Linked DNA regions of Xenopus tropicalis. The protein of the gene in region 2 purifies or fractionates together with the protein of the main gene of each other region. This does not show direct contact. Links are inferred from orthologs where the notes say so. Each region holds a gene or a part of one and is shown on either strand. Other genes may lie near its edges. The genes, in order: exosc3, exosc10, exosc4 and exosc5.

The links.
Region 1: the proteins of exosc10 (region 2) and exosc3 purify together in Homo sapiens (affinity purification with mass spectrometry; 8 studies listed by BioGRID and IntAct, counting the BioPlex papers as one, with this or other methods). This does not show direct contact. The link is inferred for Xenopus tropicalis from reciprocal best matches to the Homo sapiens genes EXOSC10 and EXOSC3.
Region 3: the proteins of exosc10 (region 2) and exosc4 purify together in Homo sapiens (affinity purification with mass spectrometry; 9 studies listed by BioGRID and IntAct, with this or other methods). This does not show direct contact. The link is inferred for Xenopus tropicalis from reciprocal best matches to the Homo sapiens genes EXOSC10 and EXOSC4.
Region 4: the proteins of exosc10 (region 2) and exosc5 purify together in Homo sapiens (co-immunoprecipitation; 8 studies listed by BioGRID and IntAct, with this or other methods). This does not show direct contact. The link is inferred for Xenopus tropicalis from reciprocal best matches to the Homo sapiens genes EXOSC10 and EXOSC5.

Annotation. Positions count from the first base shown.
Region 1 is NC_030677.2:113,707,110-113,712,706, forward strand, and holds the start of exosc3 (exosome complex component RRP40), read right to left. Parts: upstream 3,530-5,597; 5' UTR 3,438-3,529; coding exon 3,195-3,437; intron 1-3,194. UniProt on the Homo sapiens protein: Non-catalytic component of the RNA exosome complex which has 3'->5' exoribonuclease activity and participates in a multitude of cellular RNA processing and degradation events.
Region 2 is NC_030683.2:64,882,021-64,887,154, reverse strand, and holds part of exosc10 (exosome component 10), read left to right. Parts: intron 1-791; coding exon 792-867; intron 868-956; coding exon 957-1,067; intron 1,068-1,166; coding exon 1,167-1,310; intron 1,311-1,393; coding exon 1,394-1,584; intron 1,585-1,670; coding exon 1,671-1,827; intron 1,828-1,901; coding exon 1,902-2,050; intron 2,051-2,159; coding exon 2,160-2,210; intron 2,211-2,420; coding exon 2,421-2,532; intron 2,533-5,134. UniProt on the Homo sapiens protein: Catalytic component of the RNA exosome complex which has 3'->5' exoribonuclease activity and participates in a multitude of cellular RNA processing and degradation events.
Region 3 is NC_030682.2:151,308,390-151,314,232, forward strand, and holds the start of exosc4 (exosome complex component RRP41), read right to left. Parts: upstream 3,403-5,843; 5' UTR 3,399-3,402; coding exon 3,228-3,398; intron 1,642-3,227; coding exon 1,435-1,641; intron 699-1,434; coding exon 327-698; 3' UTR 1-326. Other genes in the region: E3 ubiquitin-protein ligase TRIM7, read left to right, coding at 5,087-5,843. UniProt on the Homo sapiens protein: Non-catalytic component of the RNA exosome complex which has 3'->5' exoribonuclease activity and participates in a multitude of cellular RNA processing and degradation events.
Region 4 is NC_030684.2:79,501,550-79,507,467, forward strand, and holds the start of exosc5 (exosome complex component RRP46), read right to left. Parts: upstream 3,459-5,918; 5' UTR 3,429-3,458; coding exon 3,341-3,428; intron 615-3,340; coding exon 501-614; intron 295-500; coding exon 173-294; intron 1-172. Other genes in the region: bckdha (2-oxoisovalerate dehydrogenase subunit alpha, mitochondrial), read left to right, coding at 3,655-3,726. UniProt on the Homo sapiens protein: Non-catalytic component of the RNA exosome complex which has 3'->5' exoribonuclease activity and participates in a multitude of cellular RNA processing and degradation events.

The DNA.
Region 1 (5,597 bases), on a different chromosome or scaffold from region 2:
TAAATCAGTAAATATGTTTATAAAATAAAATGTATTTATATAATTTATAAAGCTGTGTGGGAAAAAACATCAAGACATATAGACATTTACACCATATATAAAAAAAAAAAAAAAAATGAAAGTTATACATACATATACGCACCAACATAATTATACAAAACATCCTTGGGGGCAGTACTGGGACAAGCCAACCAGGCGCCCTAGGCAACCTGGTCGGCTTGCCCCTCCCCTCCCCTCTTGCATGCGCAAGTGAGAAGACATGCCTGCACACTGGGTGGTGGGGTTGCCAGGGCTGCTGCAGTGGGGAAACAGGGTTCGGAACTAGAGGTAGGTAAAAGAAGAGGAAGCTAACTGGCGCCCCCATTGGGGCCACCATTGCGCCCTAGGCAGGTGCCTCTTCTGCCTACCCCTAGTTCCAGCCCTGCTTGGAATGCATTTCTAGGATGTCACTTTCGTACGATTGCTGTCTTTTACTTTCAAAACATCCTTTAATTTATTATTTTAGGATTTTGTCCTATAATTTAAATCTTAGTTTTAGATTGTCGCATTTAAACAATCGATATCCGAACGTTCGTTAGAGGAAGACTAAAATCTGAATGTGTATGGCCACCTTAAAGGGGAGCTATCACCCTAAGAAATAATTCCAAATTAGTTGAGCAAAATAAACTTGACTTACACTACAGTCTTGGAATTACAGAATCGCAGCAAGCAGTGTGTTTATGTGATAGAACAGTGCTGTCCAACTTCGGTGCTACCGAGGGCCGGAATTTTTCCGACCTACGTGGTGGAGGGCCGATAATGGAAGCCAGTTTTGACCACTCCCCTTTTTGAAACCGCACCCACTTGAAACCACACCCGTGTTATCACATGACCATACCCATATTAATGGTTGTAGTACAGCAAAAACCTGCCATACTCTGCCTTCCCTACCCTGCCTGTGTGTGCCATACTCTGCCTTCCCTACCCTGCCTGTGTGTGCCATATTCTGCCTTCCCTACCCAGCCTGCGTGTTCTATACTTTGACTGTGTGTGCCATTCTTGGCTGGTTTGTGCCATACTTGGCCTGTGTGTGCCATACTCTGCCTGCCCTACCCTGCCTGTGTGTGTGTGCCATACTCTGCCTACCCTATGCTGCCTGTGTGTGCCATACTCTGCTGCCCTATGCTGCCTGTGTGTGCCATACTCTGCTTGCCCTATGCTGTATGGCGCACACACAGGCAGCATACAGTGACACAATTCTGTCACTGCTCCTACAGTCTGCACAATAACTATATATTAAAAAAAAAAATTATTTGCAGTACCACCTCAGTATATGTTCTTTTTGTAGTGTGCAGGGATTATTTGTGGGTTTCTACTGCTCCTACAGTTTGAGGTGTGAACAGGGGAACAATGGGGGTGATTACAGCCTGAGGTGTGAACACTGCAGGGGGTGAACAATGCAGGGACTAAAAGGTGTGAACAACACAGGGGATTACATGTTTAAACAATACAGAGGGATTACAGCCTGAATATGACGTGAGAACCATGCAGGGGGCCAGTTAATCTCAGTACTGATACCATTTAAATCTTACACAAGAGTAAGCCATCAAAGCAGCCAGACAGGTGGGGGGCCACACAGAGGGGGGTCGCGGGCCGCCAGTTGGACAGCACTGTGATAGAACGTAGGACCAGATGCCTGGGAGGGGAAAAGTAAAAAAAGCAGCGAAATCTAGGAAGTGCTAAATGGAAAGTTATTGTCTGCCCCGCCTCTATGCCTAAGGCATAGAGGCGGGGCAGGCAATACATGATTGACAGCTGGGATTTTTAAATGCCTTTATAATATTAGGGCATGGATATGTTAATAAAAAACAGAATTTGGGTTTTATGTTTAATTGGAAAAGGACTTTTATTATACAGCTTTTTATGTCTGGATGACAGGTCCCCTTTAAGCCTCAAAAAACAATAACATGTAAACAAAGGTGACCCTTGTTTGGCAGATTCATCCATGTGGCAGTATTTTGTTTTTCTGAGGCTTAAGCTAGTTATACATGGGTTGATAAAGCTGGTGACTTGCCCACCCCAGTCTAATTCAGCAGCCTAAAGTCCTGCGTAAGGGGCCCTTGGGCAGACCCTGACAGATTAAAAAAGGCCATGGCATTTCAAGTACACAGAGGCTAAACAGTCCCCACACCAGCCCAATAAATAGTGAATGTCTATGGCATTTTACGGTAGCCCCTCTGGCATTTGCCAGAATCCACAGATTGCCAGTCCAGGCCTGCTCATAGGCATCAAGTAAGCTTGAGAATCATGTTGCATGTTGAATAGGTATACTATCATTGATGCAGTCCTTTTGGTAATCTAGCATTAAAGCCCTCTTTTCTCGCTTAAAGAAGAAGGAAAGGCTAAGTCACTTGGGGTTGCTAAAATTTTAAGCACCCCCAAGTGACTTGAATCGATTACCTCGTACGCCGGGCTGGTGCCCCTGTTAGGAGAAAACAGCACCAGGCCAGGGCACCTGGGGCGATGCGCTTCCTCCTTTCGGCTTCGTTAAGCTGCGACTCCGAGTCCGGCGCATGCGCAGTAGAGTGAAAAAGCCGCCTTCAGTTCGGCTTTTCACTCTACTGCGCATGCGCACGCGAAGGAGGAAGCGCTGCAGCTACCCCAGGCTGGTGCTGTTCTCTCCGTACAGGGGCACCAGCCCGGGGTAAAAGCGATTAAAGTCACTTGGGGGTGCCTAACATTTTGGCACCCCCAAGTGACTTAGCTTTTCCTTCTCCTTTAAAGTTATGTCAAGACCGCAAAGCTTATGTTAAATCAGTGATCGCCAACCAGTGGCTCCCGAACATGTTGCTCATCAACCCCTTGGATGTTTCTCCCAGTGGGCAGTCTTGAATTTCTGGCTTAAGTTGCATAAAACACAAATGAAGCCTCCTATAGGCGGCCAAATAGTTAATCGCAGCCCATATTTTCTGTTCAAAAGGGTAAAAAAAAAGTTGGTGATCCCTTTAGTAAATGAACGCTGCCCACCAGTTAATACTGCAGGAAAACAAAGGATAAATGACCATTTAATAACCAAATTGCATTAGGAGTTGGATTTTATAGGTGCTTCATAGGTGAGTAATGTGCTGCACATAAAAGTACTAGGAAAAAAGCAAGTATAATTGTGCCCTAGCACCGAGACCAGGCGTTCCCAACACACAGAAAGAGACCATTACCCGCTTTTGCTGAGAATCAACCCAGTAGATTGCCGGGTCCCTGTGCCGCAGGAGCCCACACTTATTCACTAGCAGATCATCCTCCTGCCGCATGAGCCCGGGGCCACACACAACCCGGGGCCTGTTAGATGTAGAGGGGCCGCTCAGAGACAGAGGAGCATCCCGGGACTGGGTAGAAAGAACAAGCACATCCCCAGGCAGAACGATCTGACCGACCGCATCTTCAATACTCACGGCTGACATGCTGCTATCAGAGCGGAAGTGCGTCTGCCTACTACACTTAGCACGTGACGGTAATACACCAATAGATTTGCAAGGAAGCAAGTACTGGAGAGCTGGGCAAGGGTTCGAAAAGCGATTCAATTCTACTCAATTCAATTCTTTTGTTCCGTATAGTGCAGTGTTCTGGCTGATCGCTAGATGGCGGCAGTGTTCTCTTTTTGTGTTTTCTTTTCCCAAATCGCTGCCAGTATTTATTTTTCTAACCTGGCCCAATAGTATTTAGGAAAGTGACTTGCAGTCTGTGCTGATCTAGTCATTGTCTTCTTATGCAATAAATAGTGACTTCAACCCACTTACAGTGTTAGAAATTGCCTGTTGGGTGACATATTTGTATGGAAAGGCAATGCTGCCATCAGAAATTATGGGCAAGTTTTTTTGTCTGCCACCTCTTCCCAAAATTATGTGCAATTATAAAATTCATACTATCTTTAAAAGTGCCTCGTTTATTGGAGCTCCCTATAGATCAGGGCCCCCCAACCTTTTTTACTAGTGAGCAACACAAGCGCAAAAAAAGCTCTTTGGGGATGCCAAATAAGGGCTGTGATTGGCTGTTTGGTAGCCACATGTAAACTGCTGGCCTGTAGGAGGCTCTGCTTGGAGTAAAATGTGTTTCTGTGCTTTCAAATCATGCCTCCAAGCCAGAAATTTAAAAATAGGCACCTACTTTGAGGTCACTGAACATCAAAAGGGGTGGTGAGCAACATGTTGCCCCCAAGCCACTGGTTGGGGACCACTGCTATAGATCCTGGCAGGTCCTTATCTGTTTACCTCAAATTCAGGCTGAAATCCCCTGCATTATTCATCAAAGTACAAGTTCAAATTCCAAATTGAGAAAAATTTGGATTAAATACAATAATTTCTGATGACAGCAAATATCACAAACATGCTTACAAAAAAATCGTATTAGTCACGATAATATCTTATTGGCGATCCGAAAGTCACAATTTTCGTATCTGAACGATCGTAAACAGCAGGAAAACCTTTCTGACATTGATCCTTCTGTGCATGATTTTGGAAGCCTCCAATAGGACTCAACGGCACTCTGCAGCTCCAACCTGGCCCAAGGAAAGTCTCCCATAGGGCTCAATGGCACTCTGCAGCTCCAACCTGGCCCAAGGAAAGTCTCCCATAGGGCTCAATGGCACTCTGCAGCTCCAACCTGGCCCAAGGAAAGTCTCCCATAGGGCTCAATGGCACTCTGCAGCTCCAACCTGGCCCAAGGAAAGTCTCCCATAGGGCTCAATGGCACTCTGCAGCTCCAACCTGGCCCAAGGAACGTCTCCCATAGGGCTCAATGGCACTCTGCAGCTCCAACCTGGCCCAAGGAAAGTCTCCCATAGGGCTCAATGGCACTCTGCAGTTCCAACCTGGCCCAAGGAACGTCACGATACCAAAGCTTGAGTGAATCCGAAAAGTTCGTACTCGGCGCAACAATACAATTTTGTCGCACAAATTTTGTCGCAAAGTACCAAAAAGTCGCAGAAAATACGCACAGTACAATCAAATACAAATTTTTTGTAATTCGTACCTGTCGTACTTTAATAAATAGGCCCCATAGTGTATCTAGCGTTTTTTTTCAGCAAGCTGAAAACCACTTGCCAAAAATACGCTACATCTGCTTAAAAATCCCCCTAACTCTGCCTGCACTCAAATGCATCGAATATGCTTGGGTGCAGGCACATGTAGCAGATACTTGCTGAAAAAACAAAGTCTTGCCTTTTTTGTCGGATATCGGCTGCTTGTGCCTGGGCACAGGCACAGGGATTTTCAATGCCCCGTTTGATATCAGCCTTAGCCCGTGTTTTCACACCGGACAGACTGTAGGAGCAATGCTGGAGTGGTCATGATGAGTAACTTGTGTAATCATGGAAGTTAGGTTTTTCTGTCTCCTTTCCTACTCTGCCTGTCCCGCCTTGCCCTGTTTATCCTGCCTATGTGTGCCATCCTTTGCCTGCCCTGCTCTACCCACCTGTGTGTGCCATCCTTTGCCTGCCCTGCTCTACCCACCTGTGTGTGCCATCCTTTGCCTGCCCTGCTCTACCCACCTGTGTGTGCCATCCTTTGCCTGCCCTGCTCTACCCACCTGTGTGCCATCCTTTGCCTGCCCTGCTCTACCCACCT
Region 2 (5,134 bases):
TACAGATAATACTCAGCAACCAACTCAGGTACACAAAGACTACTGAGCAATGTTCCCTCTAAGCTGTGTGCTTGTGCACACACACATTTAGTCCTGTGCACACAGCAAATTTTGGTGCCCACAAAGAAATTTTGTGTGAAAACACCAAATTTTGTATCTATTCCGACCTGAGCACACCATTTTTTAAAATGCCCACACAAGTTTAAAATGTGCTCACATAGTCCAGAAGAATTAGTGGGAACATTTGTGCTAAGATTATTCCTGTTTAAAATTGCCATCTTGAGTTTCAACTGCTTGACCCAGGCATTTGTAAATACTGGGGTCATCTCTGATCTCTTTTTGCTAACAGCTATGCAGCATACTTACCAAATAAATCATTTTAGAGTCCCCTGTAAGGGAAGACACTGGTAAGTCTGGTAATGGTTTTCTTTGTTGCTATCTATGAAGCAATTAAGTGTAGCCTGTATTCAGTTACAGTGCACAATAACAAAGTGGAGACAGTATCTGAGATTTGCAAATGGGATGCTTTATTAAATGTCCATGAGAATACTCACGTGTATAAAACACTTCCCAACATATTCAGCCTTATCTGAAGAAACAAATTTAGAAAAGGGTTGAATAAGTCCTCAAAGTTTGGTGTTCTTTTTTTTTAATAAAGTTTGGAGCATCCCACTTGCAAAACTGTGGTACTGTCTCCATTTCCTGGCTGTATATGCTGACAAGGAAAAGGCCAGGGAGTGTACCTTCCATTGTGTTTTAGTTACTACATTACCATGCTTTCCTTTTTAAAGGTTCTGTCATCCCTATCAGTATGAATTGGATCACTTTGTACCCTTGGAATCGTCAATGGAGAAGCCAGATATTCAGGTGAGACCACAAAAAGGGCAGCCTTTTAATTTGTGTAAGTAATGAGGAATTTGATTTTAATAATTCTAAAAGATCTGTTTTGTCAACAGCCCGTCCTCTCCCTGCAAGATGTCCCATGTAAGTTTGTGATGAAGCTGGAAGACTTAGTGGCACTGAACGAGAAACTGCTACAGTGTGCAGAGTTTGCAGTGGATTTAGAAGTAAGTGATTTGTTTTTTTTTTAGGGATGTTTATGTAGCAAGCTGTGTGCAGAACTTTTTTTTTTTTTATATAAATAACCAATCTTTCTTTCTTGAAAGCATCATTCCTACAGAAGCTTCCTAGGTCTTACATGCTTGATGCAGATTAGCACTCGGACGGAGGATTATATTATTGATGTGCTGGAATTAAGGAGCAACATGTACATTTTAAATGAGAGCTTCACAAATCCCTCTATTATCAAGGTCTGTAAAATGTTATTTTCCCTTTACACCTCAGGGACCCGATTAATGGTGCCTTATTATTCCTTGTTGCAATTTTGTTTTAGGTGCTTCATGGAGCTGATTCAGATATAGAGTGGCTTCAGAAGGATTTTGGCTTATACATAGTAAACATGTTTGACACTCATCAAGCAGCACGTATTCTTAATCTTGGTCGACACTCACTTGATCACCTCCTCAGGTTGTATTGCAATGTGGAGTCAGACAAGCGATATCAGCTTGCTGATTGGAGAATTCGGTGAGTTCCAGCATAAATAATTTACAAACTTTAAACCAATAAAGTATTACCTGTACATAAATTGAAACATTTGTATACAATTTCAGCCCCTTACCTGAAGAAATGATTGAGTATGCTAGAGCAGATACACACTATTTGCTTTTCATATATGACAAAATGCGAACAGCTCTACTAGGTGCAGCCAACAAGCAGCAGAACCTTCTCCAATTGGTATGGCAGAAAAGCAGGGACATTTGTCTGAAGGTAAGACTTTTTCCTAAATGTAACTTTACAAATGCATATATAGAGAATATCCTGACACAGTGTATTTCCTACAGAAATTCACAAAGTCAATCTTTACAGAGGATTCATATCTAGAGCTATACCAAAAGCAAAAGAAACACCTTAACACGCAGCAGTTGACTGCCTTCAGGCTCCTTTTTGCATGGAGAGATAAAATAGCTCGACAGGAAGATGAGAGCACAGGGTAAGGAGATATATGTGTTTATATGATGTCTGTGTCAAGGCTGTTGAATTATACTAAAACATGTCTTTTTAAGTGTTTAACAATAATACATTTATTTTTAATATTGCAGTTATGTGTTACCAAATCACATGTTGCTGAAGATAACTGAGGAACTGCCCAAGTGAGTGCATCATTGATTTTCTTAAAGTATCTTTAATATTCAACAGTTTTAATTCTAAAGCTACAACATTTTAAACTTCAGAAAATTGTATTGCCAAATAGCCCTTTTTTTTTTTTTCTTTTTGTGCTATACTGACCAACACCAACAATATACACCCTATGAATGTTTTTTTTTTTTTTTTTTTAAGAATTTTTGTATGTTCTATTTTAGGGAGCCACAAGGAATCATTGCTTGCTGCAGTCCAGTGCCTCCACTTGTGCGACAACAAATCAATGAATTATCTCTTCTTATTCATCAGGCGCGTGAGACCCCGCTTCTAAAGGTATGTTATTAAATTAAGCAACTGCGCGTCATGCTCAAACCATCTACTGTTTTAAAGGTGTCTACACTGATTTTGTGTCTTATTGGGAGACCAGGTAACACCAATCGAACATGCCTCATTGGAAACCAGACTATTGTAAGCTTGATATTATGGACAACTATGTGAACCTATTCAAGAATCTCGCCAAACTGGAATATATATATATATATATATATATGTGCTTGAGAGAGGGTCAGCACTCACAGGACTTATACAAACAAATTATTTTATTAAAGAGGAGACTAACGTTTCGGCTAGCACTCTAGCCTTTTTCAAAAGGCTAGAGTGCTAGCCGAAACGTTAGTCTCCTCTTTAATAAAATAATTTGTTTGTATAAGTCCTGTGAGTGCTGACCCTCTCTCAAGCACCTTCAACATTATTTGGACCTGCACCCAGGCAACAGCAACTTATCTATACGTGAGTGCCGGCATTTACTTGGAAGTTTATATATATGGGCTGTGTGTTCCCTCTGAGATCACATGACCAGAAATAATGTAGCTTTAACTGTAACAGGTGGAAGTGTGGAATAAAAGGGCAGATTCTGTCCATTAATTGGCTAATGTGACCTAGCATGTATGTGTGTCCATTAATTGGCTAATGTGACCTAGCATGTTTGTGTGAATCCTATGATCCCAGGAGGTGGCCCCTTCATTCTTAAAATGGCAATTTTCTATTTAGGAATACCCAACAGCACATACTGCTAAAGTATATTTTTATGAAAATGGTTTATTTAGATGAAGCTGTGTGTAAGCTTGTTAAAACAATATATTTTATAGAGACCTACATTGTTTGGGGGTATAGTTTTCCTTTAGCAGATACATGGCTGAAACAGATTTATATTAAAAAGTCATTGCTCTGTTGCTATTCATTTATTGGGGCATGAAAAAGCACATAACAGTGAGTGATGTTTGCACAATGAGCATGTAGAACTTCAGGAAGAGGTTAGTTATAAGCCTGGCTACAGGTATTTAAGGTACGCCATGCCAGTACAGCCAGATTCAGCAATGGCAGCCCCCTCATAGAAGAACATGGGGGATCAGGTAATGGAAAAATATTAGGCTACTACTTTTATGGCAAAATTATAAATAGCATGCGAAGAAAATGTTATTTTTCATAAATGATCAGTTTTCTGGAAGGATGGGAGTGGCCTATTTAGAACCTGACACACGGAGATCTTCCTGTATGCTTACATCACATCATCACGTCCAGGCTTCGCCCTTACTTTTTTCCTATTGGACCAATTCAGTGGGTGCTTGTGCACTCCAGTTGCATAAATTGAAAGGTAATCGGTTTCTCCCTTGCAGTGGCATAGGCAAACTGACTCAACATATCACAAATCTAACATACTGTTACAGGAAGCAATGTCAGACTGACTGGAGCCAAGGCCAATAGGAGTTAAGTCTTTATAGGAATCACAATCCCATTAATACATAAAATCTAGAAGCCAGAGGTTCCAAATAGAAGCATAGTAAAGATGCACCTACCCTGTATCCACCCCTCAGATGTGCTGTGCCTATTGTGGCTATTTATTATTCAGTGTTCTACATGTATGCAAGGAAAAATGTGGTTCCATCCACACCAAACTCAGTGACTGTATCTCAGTGAGAGAACCTGATAAAGGGTCAGGCATAAAATCTATGTAACACTAATATGAATAAATTTTGGGGTGTTCTGGTTTCCTCCCAGACTCCCATCCTGACCACTTTGGGAATGTGACAAAATATATTTAAAAAATAATACACTGGGACAGAGACTTATGTAAAAATGATGTATAATCTCTTTAAAGGAGAAGGAAAGTCATTTTGTCAATTTAATGCCAATAGATTTGCCACATTAGTGCCACCTAGAACAATATATTTATTCTGCAGAAACCATTACCATACCTGAGTAAACAGCTTTAGAAGATTTCTCTGTTTGCTTAAGATAACAGCTGCCATTTTAAGTAGCTTCCTGCCTGCAGTCTAGCCGTTAGCTGATATCACACATTCCTAAGGGAGGGGGGAGGGAGTTCTTAGCATTCTGGTGGGAGGGGGAGCAGGAGAAGGGGAGAGAGGAAATAACTTTGCAGGCTCTGGCCACAGGAATTAAGGATGTTTCTGAGAGAGTAAGTCAGACACTGGAACATCATGTTTACAAAAAAAGAGGCAAAAAAATCCTGTGTTTCTTTTGATAGAGTGTAAGTAAGAGAGAGTAAGTGCTTATGGCTGTATTTACATGAAGCTTACTTAGTTTTTACCTACCTTCCCCTTTAAAGCACTGCAGTATGTAAAGAATACAAATAATAATAATACAAATAATTTTACTTATGCCTATTTGAATCTATCTGACAACACATCTTTTCTGGGACCTGTAACTCTGCATGACTCAAAATGCATTTGGACTTTGACCATTTCTAAAATAACCTCTAATTTCTACTTTCCTTTGCAGTGATGAACATATCATATGCCAAAGGCATAACATTAATAAAATATTAATAAGTTTACCACTCTTGCAGAATTGATTGCAAGTACGGGTATGGGACATGTAATCCAGAATGCTCAGGACCTGGGTTTTTCCGGATAAG
Region 3 (5,843 bases), on a different chromosome or scaffold from region 2:
AGGAATAAAAAGTAACAATAACAATAAAACTGGAGCCTCACAGAGCAATAGGGTTTGGCTGCCGGGGTCAGTGACCCCCATTTGAAAGATGCAAAGAGTCAGAAGCAAAAATAAATAATAAAGACCAATTGAAAAGTTGCTCAGAATTGGCCAATCTATAACATACTAATAGTTAACTTAAAGGTAAACCCACCCCATTACCTGTAATTCAAGATACAAGTCAGGCCCCACCCCCTCCTGTTTATTACGCAGTCCTGAGAGAAAGTAGATCGTCATTCGAGTGAGTTGCCTGGGCAGGAAGCCCAAACTAGCCGAGCCAATCAGATTCAAGCTGCTGTGCGGTCCCCCAGCAGGGTAGTGAGCTCCTGTAAGTGCTCCCGCACCACCTGATCCAGGACAGCGTACACATCCTTGCACGCCTTGCTCGCGGCATCCATCACCCGCTCCAGGTGATCCTCGTGCAGCCGCGAGTTCATCTCCAGCAGCGCAATCTGATCCGACTTGGGGAGGAGGGCCAGGGCGAGTTGGGGCCCTCCGGCGGCTTCTTCCACGTAGCTGAGATCCGCGAGGGGCGTGTCCTCGATGAAGCCCGCCGAGCTGGCGCACACGTAGTCGCGCATGGGAATGCCGGCGTCGATCACGGCCAGGGTGGCGGCATTCACACATGTGCAGTAGTTGCCCCCGTCTGCTTGCAGGATCTGGGCAGGGAGAGTCATGTGATCATATCCAGCGCAGCACAACACGGGAGCCAGTATGGCAGCACCAAGATACCACATACATGCACCACTGAGATATCCCCACATAGTGACTCCCAGGAACTACTCTTGGTGGCCAGGGGGATGCTGGGAATTTTAGTACAGCCCAAGGGCCACAGATTGGGGACCACTGACTAAAGGATTTGGGGGGTTCACCTTTAAGTTAACTTTTAGTACGTTATAGAATGGCCAATTCTAAGCAACTTTTCAATTGGTCTTCATTATTTATATTTTTTATAGTTTTTTATCTATTTCCCTTCTTCTTCTGACTCTTTGCAGCTTTCAAATGGGGGTCACTGACCCCGGCAGCCAAACCCTATTGCTCTGTGAGGCTCCAGTTTTATAGTTATTGTTACTTTTTATTCCTTATCTTTCTATTCGGCCCCTCCCCTATTCATATACCAGTCTCTCATTCAAACCACTCCCTGGTCGATAAGGTAATTTGGATCCTAGCAACCAGATAGCTGCTGAACAAGTGAAACAACTAAAAAACTACAAATATAAAAATGAAGACCAATTGCAAATTGCCTCAGAATATCACTCTCATACTAACAGTTTAACTCAAAGGTGAACCTCCCCTTTAAGGTCAATTTAAAGTGAAACAGCCCCTATTTAAGCCCCGCACTATTGTTACAACTTGCCGATGCCCCACCCACTGGCTGATGCCCCTCCCACTCACCTGCACGTAGATATCTATCTGTGAGCGCGGGTACAACTGGGTGAGGATGGCGGCCTCGAACGTCTGCTTTAGGTGCAGGGTCATCTCGCTGGACTTGCGGTCCCCGTGGGGGCGGCGCTTCCTCTCGCCGGTGCTGAAGGTCGCCATACTGTACTGGCAGTTCACCACTGAGCGGTCGTGGAGCATTTTACTGCGAGAGCCGCGGATCTGTGGGCACAGCGTTACGGGCACCGTTACACATGGAACTGGGGTATGGGGGCGGGACTAGCAGTGGGCACAGGCAGCCGTGTGTAGGCAGGGTAAGTATCCCAGCAGCAACCACTTACCCACCCCCATACTGTGCCAACCCCTTACCCACCCACCCCCATACTGTGCCAACCCCTTACCCACCCCCATACTGTGCCAACCCCTTACCCACCCCCATACTGTGCCACCCCTTACCCACCCCCATACTGTGCCAACCCCCCCCATTATCCCACCCCCTACTACTGTGCCACCCCCTTACACCCCCCCCATACTTGCCAACCCCTTACCCACCCCCATACTTGCCTACCCCTTACCCACCCCCATACTTTGCCTACCCCTTACCCACCCCCATACTGTGCCAACCCCTTACCCACCCCCATACTTTGCCTACCCCTTACCCACCCCCATACTGTGCCAACCCCTTACCCACCCCCATACTGTGCCAACCCCTTACCCACCCCATACTGTGCCAACCCCTTACCCACCCCCATACTGTGCCACCCCCTTACCCACCCCCATACCCACCCACCCCCATACTGTGCCACCCCCTTACCCACCCCCCATACTGTGCCAACCCCTTACCCACCCCCATACTTTGCCTACCCCTTACCCACCCCCATACTTTGCCTACCCCTTACCCACCCCCATACTTTGCCTACCCCTTACCCACCCCCATACTGTGCCAACCCCTTACCCACCCCCATACTGTGCCTACCCCTTACCCACCCCCATACTGTGCCAACCCCTTACCCACCCCCATACTGTGCCAACCCCTTACCCACCCCCATACTGTACCAACCCCTACCCACCCCATACTGTACCAACCCCTTACCCACCCCCATACTGTGCCAACCCCTTACCCACCCACCCCCATACTGTGCCAACCCCTTACCCACCCCCACTGTGCCACCCACTTACCCACCCCCATACTGTGCCAACCCCTTACCCACCCCCATACTGTGCCACCCACTTACCCACCCCCATACTGTGCCAACCCCTTACCCACCCCCATACTGTGCCAACCCCTTACCCACCCCCATACTGTGCCAACCCCTTACCCACCCCCATACTGTGCCACCCCCTTACCCACCCCCATACTGTGCCAACCCCTTACCCACCCCCATACTGTGCCACCCACTTACCCACCCCCATACTGTGCCAACCCCTTACCCACCCCCATACTGTGCCAACCCCTTACCCACCCCCATACTGTGCCAACCCCTTACCCACCCCCATACTGTGCCAACCCCTTACCCACCCCCATACTGTGCCACCCACTTACCCACCCCCATACTGTGCCACCCACTTACCCACCCCCATACTGTGCCACCCACTTACCCACCCCCATACCCACCCACCCCCATACTGTGCCAACCCCTTACCCACCCCCATACTGTGCCAACCCCTTACCCACCCCCATACTGTGCCACCCACTTACCCACCCCCATACTGTGCCACCCACTTACCCACCCAAGTAACCCAGCGGTCTCTCCCCTATAGTAATGCCTCTGAGCCATTCAGCCCGTCCGTGTGGCCCCAGCACTCACCTCATGGGGCCCATATACCACAGCCAGGGCCTTGGTGTTCCCCTGCTCGATATAAGCGGAGCCATCGGCCTGAGCGAACACTCCCATCCTGGCCCGTATCTTGCGCAGCTCCCCGGCTTTCCTGCCATCCACCCGGTAGCCCTGGTCCGACAGCAGCTCCAGCCCCGCCATCCCGCACCACGTTCTCACGGTATAAACTACAACTCCCAGAAACCACCGCGCCGCCACTTTCCGTTCCTCTTTCCGGAAGTGTCTGGGTGCCCGCCTCCACGTCACATAAAGGGGCGGTGCCAAAGTGATAGTTACTTCGTGTAGTAGAATTGCGCTTTTACCTCAGTTCGTTACAAGTGGCGCTAATTCCTATTGCTGGTCCCTATGGCGCTATTGTGCGGCCCAGTTGGGCTCTGAGCCATGTTTCCTATTTCACACTGTTATTTTCCCATGTTACTGAGCAGAAACTGTATATATATATATATTATGTTCCCCTGTCACTGTGCAGCCTACTCACCTATGGGTTTTCCCCATAGTAACCAGGAAAGGAACATTCCACTGAGCATTTACATTTTCCCTTTCACTGTAGATTCATAGTACTGACACTGTTACACAGCAAATAATTCCCTCTGCCATTTAACCTTTTATTCTTCAACCAACAAATGTATTTGTAGCTGTAATATTGGCGTGTAGGCGCCATCTCAGTGCCTTGTGCCTGAGTCTGAGCTTTCAGCCAGCGCTACACATTAGAACTGCTTTCAGCTAACCTATTGTTTCCCCTACTCCCATGTAACTGGGGGAGTCCCAAGCCGGACTTGGATTTCTTACTATTGAGTGCTATTCTGATACCTACTGGGAGCTGCTATCTTGCTCCCTTCCCATTGTTCTGCTGATCGGCTGCTGGGGGTGAGGGGGGGGGATATCACTCCAACTTGCAGCGCAGCAGTAAAGTGTGCCTGAGTCTGAGCTTTCAGCCAGCGCTACACATTAGAACTGCTTCCAGCTAACCTATTGTTTCTCCTACTCCCATGTAACTGGAGGAGTCCCAAGCCGGACTTGGATTTCTTACTATTGAGTGTTATTCTGATACCTACTGGGAGCTGCTATCTTGCTCCCTTCCCATTGTTCTGCTGATCGGCTGCTGGGGGGGAGGGGGGGATATCACTCCAACTTGCAGCGCAGCAGTAAAGTGTGCCTGAGTCTGAGCTTTCAGCCAGCGCTACCCATTAGAACTGCTTTCAGCTAACCTATTGTTTCTCCTACTCCCATGTAACTGGAGGAGTCCCAAGCCGGACTTGGATTTCTTACTATTGAGTGCTATTCTGATACCTACTGGGAGCTGCTATCTTGCTCCCTTCCCATTGTTCTGCTGATCGGCTGCTGGGGGTGAGGGGGGGGGATATCACTCCAACTTGCAGCGCAGCAGTAAAGTGAAACTGAAGTTTATTAGGGCTCAGGTCACATGGCTGTGGCACCCTGGGAAATGAAGAATATGGCTAGCCCCATGGGAAAAACAGATTACAATGCAGGATTCAGCGGGAGACGCTCTATTAACTGATGGGTTTTGAAAAAACATGTTTTCCCATGACATTATTGCTTTAATAGGAACAGTTCTGGGCTCCATCTGTTTGGGCTACTTTAGAGTCATTGGCTTTAGAGTCCTACATTGCAGATGTTTAGAGCTTGTGAAAGGTGCAGTGGCTACAAGTTGAGTGGGAAGAAGGGGTTAATAAACTGTGTGCTGAGCGCTCAGCTCCTTTCCGTGCCTCTGGCCACGCCTCCTGCCTTGGTGCCTGAGGGATCCAGTAAAACGAGTTTCGATTCTTTGTGACTCGGAGGAACTTTCCATTCTTTCTCCTTGTTCCACGATGGCGGCGGCTGCTGATGTGAGAGTCGAGGTAACGTGCACCGTGTGCCTGAACATTTACACCGAGCCCGTAACTCTGCCCTGCGGCCATAACTTCTGCCTGAGCTGCATTGGCAAAACCTGGGACTGGCAGGAAGGGATAGAGGAGCAGCCTTCCTGCCCCGAATGCAGAGAGAGATTCCGGACACGACCGGAACTCAAAAAGAACTCACGGCTGCGGAACATTGCGGAACATTTTCGTTCTGAGCAGCCAAAGCAAAACAAGACTGACATTTACTGTACCTACTGCGATGCTTCGGTGCCCGCTGCCAAGTACTGCGTGCGGTGTGAGGCTTCCCTGTGCGACAGTCACGTGCAACTACACAGCAGCGCAGAGGAACACGTCCTAGTGGAACCCACCGCCTCCCTGGCCAAGCGCAAATGCGCCGTGCACAACCGGCTGCTGGAGTACCACTGCCGAGAGGATGGCGCCTCTATCTGTGCCTCCTGCTGCCTGGTGGGGGCGCACCGAGGGCACAACGTGGAGCAGCTGAGTGAGGCCTCCGAGAAGGAGAAAAAGAAACTTAAAAAGGTTCTGGAATATCTGATCCCTGCCAAAGAGGTGACAGAGAAGAGTCTGCTGAAGCTGAAGGACAGCAGAGACAAGGTCCAAAAGAGAGCGGCTGCAGAGAGCGAGCACGTCTCTGCCCTGTTTAGAACCATCCGGGAATGGTTGGAAAGCCTAGAGATGCAGATGCTGGAGGAGATCTCCAGGCAAG
Region 4 (5,918 bases), on a different chromosome or scaffold from region 2:
ATGTACACATAAATGATTTCACCACTTACATCTTATTAGCACAGCAAATCATGAATTTCAAAGACAGACTGACCCCTGTGCTTATTACAGTAGGCACAAATAAAAAACACAATAAAATTTGTTATTGCCTATAATAGTCAAAAGCTAGAATATCAAAGTGGGTTTAGGATACAGATCCAGCATCACTGACTATCTGTAGCACAATGGTTATTGAGGTTCTAGGATGCAAGGATCCAATGATGACAGATTCACATGTTTCACGAATTAGCTGCTCCTGGTTTTTCTCCTGGATAGCTTTGGGGAATAAAAAAAAAAAAAGAATGATATTCCAGGTAGATAAAAAGTGAAAAGAAATGTCTAAGTACAGAAAACCAGAAACATGTCACATGGGCAACTTTTTTGTGGTTAGACTGCAATGATGCAAAGTATTTGTCTGTTAGCTGTTAGATGTAATTCTTGCCTTCAGAAAAACAGAACATGTCTCTGATGGAAGCACCTACCAGGCAACCCAGTCTTGGGCCTGAGGATCACCTCTAATGTGGCTTTATTATGGATTTCTCTGCTGACCTTGATCTCTGCAGGGCCATATACTCCAGCCATTACAGATGTGTCGCCTACAGGAAAGCAACATGGAAATCAGTTGAACAGTTAGCCTTAAGGTGGCCATACACCTTACAATTACAATCTTTCCTGCAACCATTTGTCTCAGGAAAGATCGTTCCCACCCTCCACTGGCATTCAGAGTTGAATTGTCAGATATGGAGGTAGAAACAATAAGGATTCTACCTCCACCTGACAATTAAGCCCTAAACACAGATTTTGCTCGTATAAAAGTCTTCTGTCCCGCCCGTTCCACGAGGCGACATATCCGAAGCTTTTGTGATGTTCACCTCGTCGATCCACCATACACACAGTGAATATCGTATGAAACTAGGTGCATCGGTGCATGTATGTCAGCTTTAGTCACATAAAACTACAGTAGCCAGATTACTGCCTGTGTGATATATAAACGAACCTGAATTATGAGTTTTTACCTTTCTTTCTTCTTTAAAGCAATCTCAGCAGGGGCTCAAACACAGCCAATCATAATCACAGATGGCCGTAAGTTCCACTGTGGAAATGGAAAAATTGCCTTTTCAGGCAAAGGCAAAATGACAAGCACCATGGGGGTACTAGAAAAGAACAAGTTTGTGATTTGCTGCTTGTGCAACTTAAGTGAGGCAATGCATTCAATCTACCCATTTTATGCAGTGATCTTATGGTCATGTCTTTAGTTAATGGAGGCTTCTCTGGTTATTTATGCAGTGATTTTACTGGCATGTCTGGATTTTTTTTTTTGGTTTTAGTTTTAATTTTATGATCATGGTATTTTGGGTGTGGTAAAATGTGGGTGCAGTCATACCATGGCAGTTAACTGTGTCCCTCTTTGTAGTTTTCAAATGGCGGGAGGAGCATGGCAGTTAATTGTGTCCCTCTTTCGAGTTTTCAAATGGTGATAGGTATAAAAAGGTGGTGAGTAAAACTGTACACAAGGTGGATAAAGTGATAGGTCTTGATCAATGCAGCTTGGTAGAACAGAGTTGCAGAGAGTTTGGTGTGAATTCTAAGCCACCATGATATACCTGCTTGATATCTAGGTCAATGTGCTTACACCCTTTAGTTTCTTTTTTCCGAATTAATCTATTTTTGTGTGACTGGAGAACTGCATTAAAAATTATACTGCATTAAAAATTATTAACTGGTCAAAATGCTATAAACCACCTAAACATGGTACTGGATTGCTACTTTGTAAGGATAGCTCACATTTTTTGTTGAAACTCATTTCTAATCTTTATTCTAAAATTGAATATGGTGCAGAGCCTAGGAGCCCAAAACTACAAGCCCCTATAGCTATAATACACAAGATTTTCTTTACCAACATTGATCAGTGATGTAATTTGTATAATTTACTGACTAAAACCTCCTCTGTTGTAAAATATGTGGATATTAGAAGCCACCTCAGAGTTCAATGACCTGTATTAAACCACTTGGCCTTTGGTTCTGTGCCTGTATATGGTCATGGCACTCTAAGGAGACTTCCAATACCCTTATATTTTTTAATATGGTGTATATTCCCTATATTTTGGTTTATTTAAATGCGTACACACAGGTATCATAATCACAGTGCTGTACATGACCGTTTATAGCTCTAGAGTAAGAGTATGGTCAGTCTGTCCCCAATTCAATTTGGTGTCCAATATTTTAAAGGACCTTTTCCTAAATAAATATATATGTATTTGTACAAATGAATTGTAATTTTAAGCAGTGTTATAATATGCAGGAATTAAACATGTTAAATGTTTTTTTTTAAGTAATTTCTAAATAAAATTCCAAGAGCAGTTTGTCTGCCTTTGCTATTATTTGCTACCAGACTATAGAAATAATTAAATAAAAAATGTCTCTCCTCACCACCACCTCAGTTCCTACAAATTTGCCTTGTACTATTCTTTTATTTTACTTTGCAGCTGATAATGGCAGAACAAGCAAGGCATTGTGAGATTTGGAGTAGTTAAAGGAACAGTAACACCAAAAAATGAAAGTGTATAAAAGTAATTACAATATAATGTACTGTTGCCCTATATTGCTACAACTGGTGTGTTTGCCTCAGAAAGACTACTATAGTTTATATAAGTTAGCTGCTGTGTAGCTATGGGGGCAGCCATTCAAAGGAGAAAAGGCACAGGTTACTTAACAGATAACAGATAAACCCCCATTATATGGGGCTTATCTACTAGTTATCGGCTACGTAACCTGTGCCTTTTCTCCTTTTTTCCAGCTTGAATGGCTGCCCCCGTGGCTACACAGCAGCTTATTTATATTGTAGCTTTTCTGTAGCAAAAACACCAGTTTTTTGCAGAGCAACAGCACATTATATTTTAATTACTTTAAAACACTTTCATTTTTTGATGTTACTGTTCCTTTAAGAGTAGCTGGGGAAACCAGGAGAGAGTTGCAATAAACAGGCTGAAACTTTTTTCTCAGTAACAATTGTATCAATTTTAAAATCATGAACATTTTTTATTATCCTATATTGGAAAATTGCTTAATTTACAAGTTTGCAGTTCAGCAACCACCTACTTTAGACAAATACAACACATACATTCCCCATTGCTGTCCTCTGCATTATGACAACATGGAAGAGCTGTTCCATTAAATGAGAATAACGGCCACTGGATTTACAATTCAATTTCCATCCAATGATTTAGCCGCAAAACATTTTACGCTTCCCTTCAATATGTATCCCTTGATATCCTCGTATTCCACATAAGATTTGAGGAATTATAGGCGCGCCAAAACTAACCCTGAAGAAACGTAGCGGATCCATCGGGACGGCTCAGCAAACTCTGCTCACACCCGTATTCCCGCAATACAGAACCTACAGCCTCCATCAGAACCTTCTTTCCACATGTGCAAACACTTCCGGGGTCCTTGGGGTCTGGCAACCGCCACACTTGCCTGTATAATTATACACAACAATGCCAAAGCCTTTTTTCCCAGGGAATAATAGGAAATACGCAATTCTCGCAATTTCTCACTTCAGAGGTTATTTTTGACAAGCTGTTGAATAGGGGTCCTAAGAGAAATGTAGGCAGTGGGATAGCATTCCGAAGCAAGATGGCGGCGCTGAGGGCACTTCTAAGGGTCCGGACTGTGGCAGGAGGGTGGAGAGGCGCCGGTGGGAGACAGGTGAGAGGAGTACAGGGGTCGCGTTGGTGTGAGTGAAACAGACGATAATCAGATGGAAGGGGAGTTTAAATGTTTTATTTCTAAATGCGAGACCCTGGTCTTGTATACTGAGAAGTATACACATCTTGTACCATAAGGTACATCGCATCTAAAATACTAGTATGCCTGTCTGACGTATATACATGGGAACTACAAGAACTGTTTGAATTGGGAGATGTGTTTTAAAAGTTATATGCTATAATAAACGTGGGTTATAGTTACAGTTCAGAATTATGTAAAAATATGTGATATTGCTGACTAGATTTGTAAGGAGTCAAATTTACATTTGAATTTACAGCTTATATAGTATATACATTTATATGCTTTAGCCTTAAATAACAGGTTGGTTGATTGTCTGTCCATAAACCAGCTGGTGACAACATTGTTTCAGCTATATAAATAGGAAGAATATGTTTGTATACATACTCCCAAAATGCACACACATATTTCCAGGTATATATTTGTATAGTGCTACTTGTATACACAGCCCTGTACATATCTATATATAAGTATTTGTATAAAATTGCCTGTGCTTTTGATCAGCAGTTCTGGGACTGGAATATTATAGGTTGGAGTATTATAGAAGCAACATTCTAGTAATATTCCTAGTTCTGTACTGTACCACAGTTATTGCTTACACTGTATTGGATTCTCTGTGTTTTTGCATACGGGAAAGAATATATATTTTCAAGGTGTTCTAACTTTTTTTTCATGGTGCAGTGTAAAATGTTTTTAGAAAACATAATTATTTGCAGATACTTGTAGCCTAAATTGTGCTTTTAGTTATGTGATTTAACGGGCAAGACCAAGGTGTTACGCATTAAAGATGTGTGATGCTCTGGTGGGAAAAAAAAATATGGAACCCCCTCCCCCAGCACTATACCATACATTTTGGAGCTGGATTATAATACAATGATAATGTCATGGACAGAAATCAGAGGAGCACTTTGGCCTGTAGGGGAACATAACCTCTTGAAGAGCCCCGTGGTCTGGAGCAAAACTAGATGGTTTTAATTATTACTTATTCTTGCATATTAAATAACTATTACTACAGTTTAATTAGGATATGCCTAGTATTTGTCTGATTTAACAGCTAATGTGCCATAGATTCTGTTTTGGACAGCATTGAAAGGGTTAAAGGACAGAAATATGTAAACCGGAAGGATGACACTTGAAATAAAGGCCAAATAAAAGGTTTTATCCTTAATACTAGGTGTCAAATGGAGGAGTAAAGTGAGGATAAGAGTGAGGGGGTTTAGGAGGAAAGTGACATTTGCCGGTCTTGCTGTTTGTATTAAGTCAGTTAAGCTTCCTGGGTATTGGAAGGTCACTGATTGTATGGGGAGGCTTGTCTGCAGAGCTGTGCACTGATTGGCTGCCATTTAGGGCGGGACGCTGTTGCTCGCTGCACTCGTGTTGCAGCTCAGCATTAATAGAAACAAAGGTGCAGCATTTTCACATTGTACAACCTTAGTGAAATTGCACTAGGTTTTTGGGCTTTGTTGGTAATGTGAAAATTCCATATTGTGCTCTAGTTGAAATGGTCAGTTTATCTTCAGACTTCAGGGTCAATTTCTTTTGTAAATCTGTGTGCCAACAGGCTTTTATTTTCTCTGTGGTTATTCTCCTGTAGAATGTTCTACAGCTATTGCTGTGCCCTTAAATACAAAGGTAAGGACAATATCAAAATAATACACTACACTAAAACACTAATTAACAGTATTGTGCTGCTATGCATTGGCATGCATGTTTGCAAGATCACAATCAATCCTCACCATACCAAATAAAATAGCCTTTTTTAACAGGTGAAATACAACAAATACACTCAAGTTAGTCAGAGAGGCTGGGCTGGCTCTGATTGCACTACTTTTTTAATATTTATTATCAAGTTTTTACTTATTTTTATATACCAGGAGAATAAGAGCTGTGTGCAGCATCCATAATTGTTGCACATTGTGTTTACACTAAATACAGCCCAGCAGACTCTGAAAACATTTGAAAAATCTCACTAGTATAGGCAATAATTTTTCTGTATTCGCATGAGGGGCAAACACATTTAAAATACAGGTATGGGATCCATATCTGGAAACCTGTTTTTCAGAAAGCTATATATTACGGGAAGGCCTCCATTATAAGCAAATACTTCAAAATTT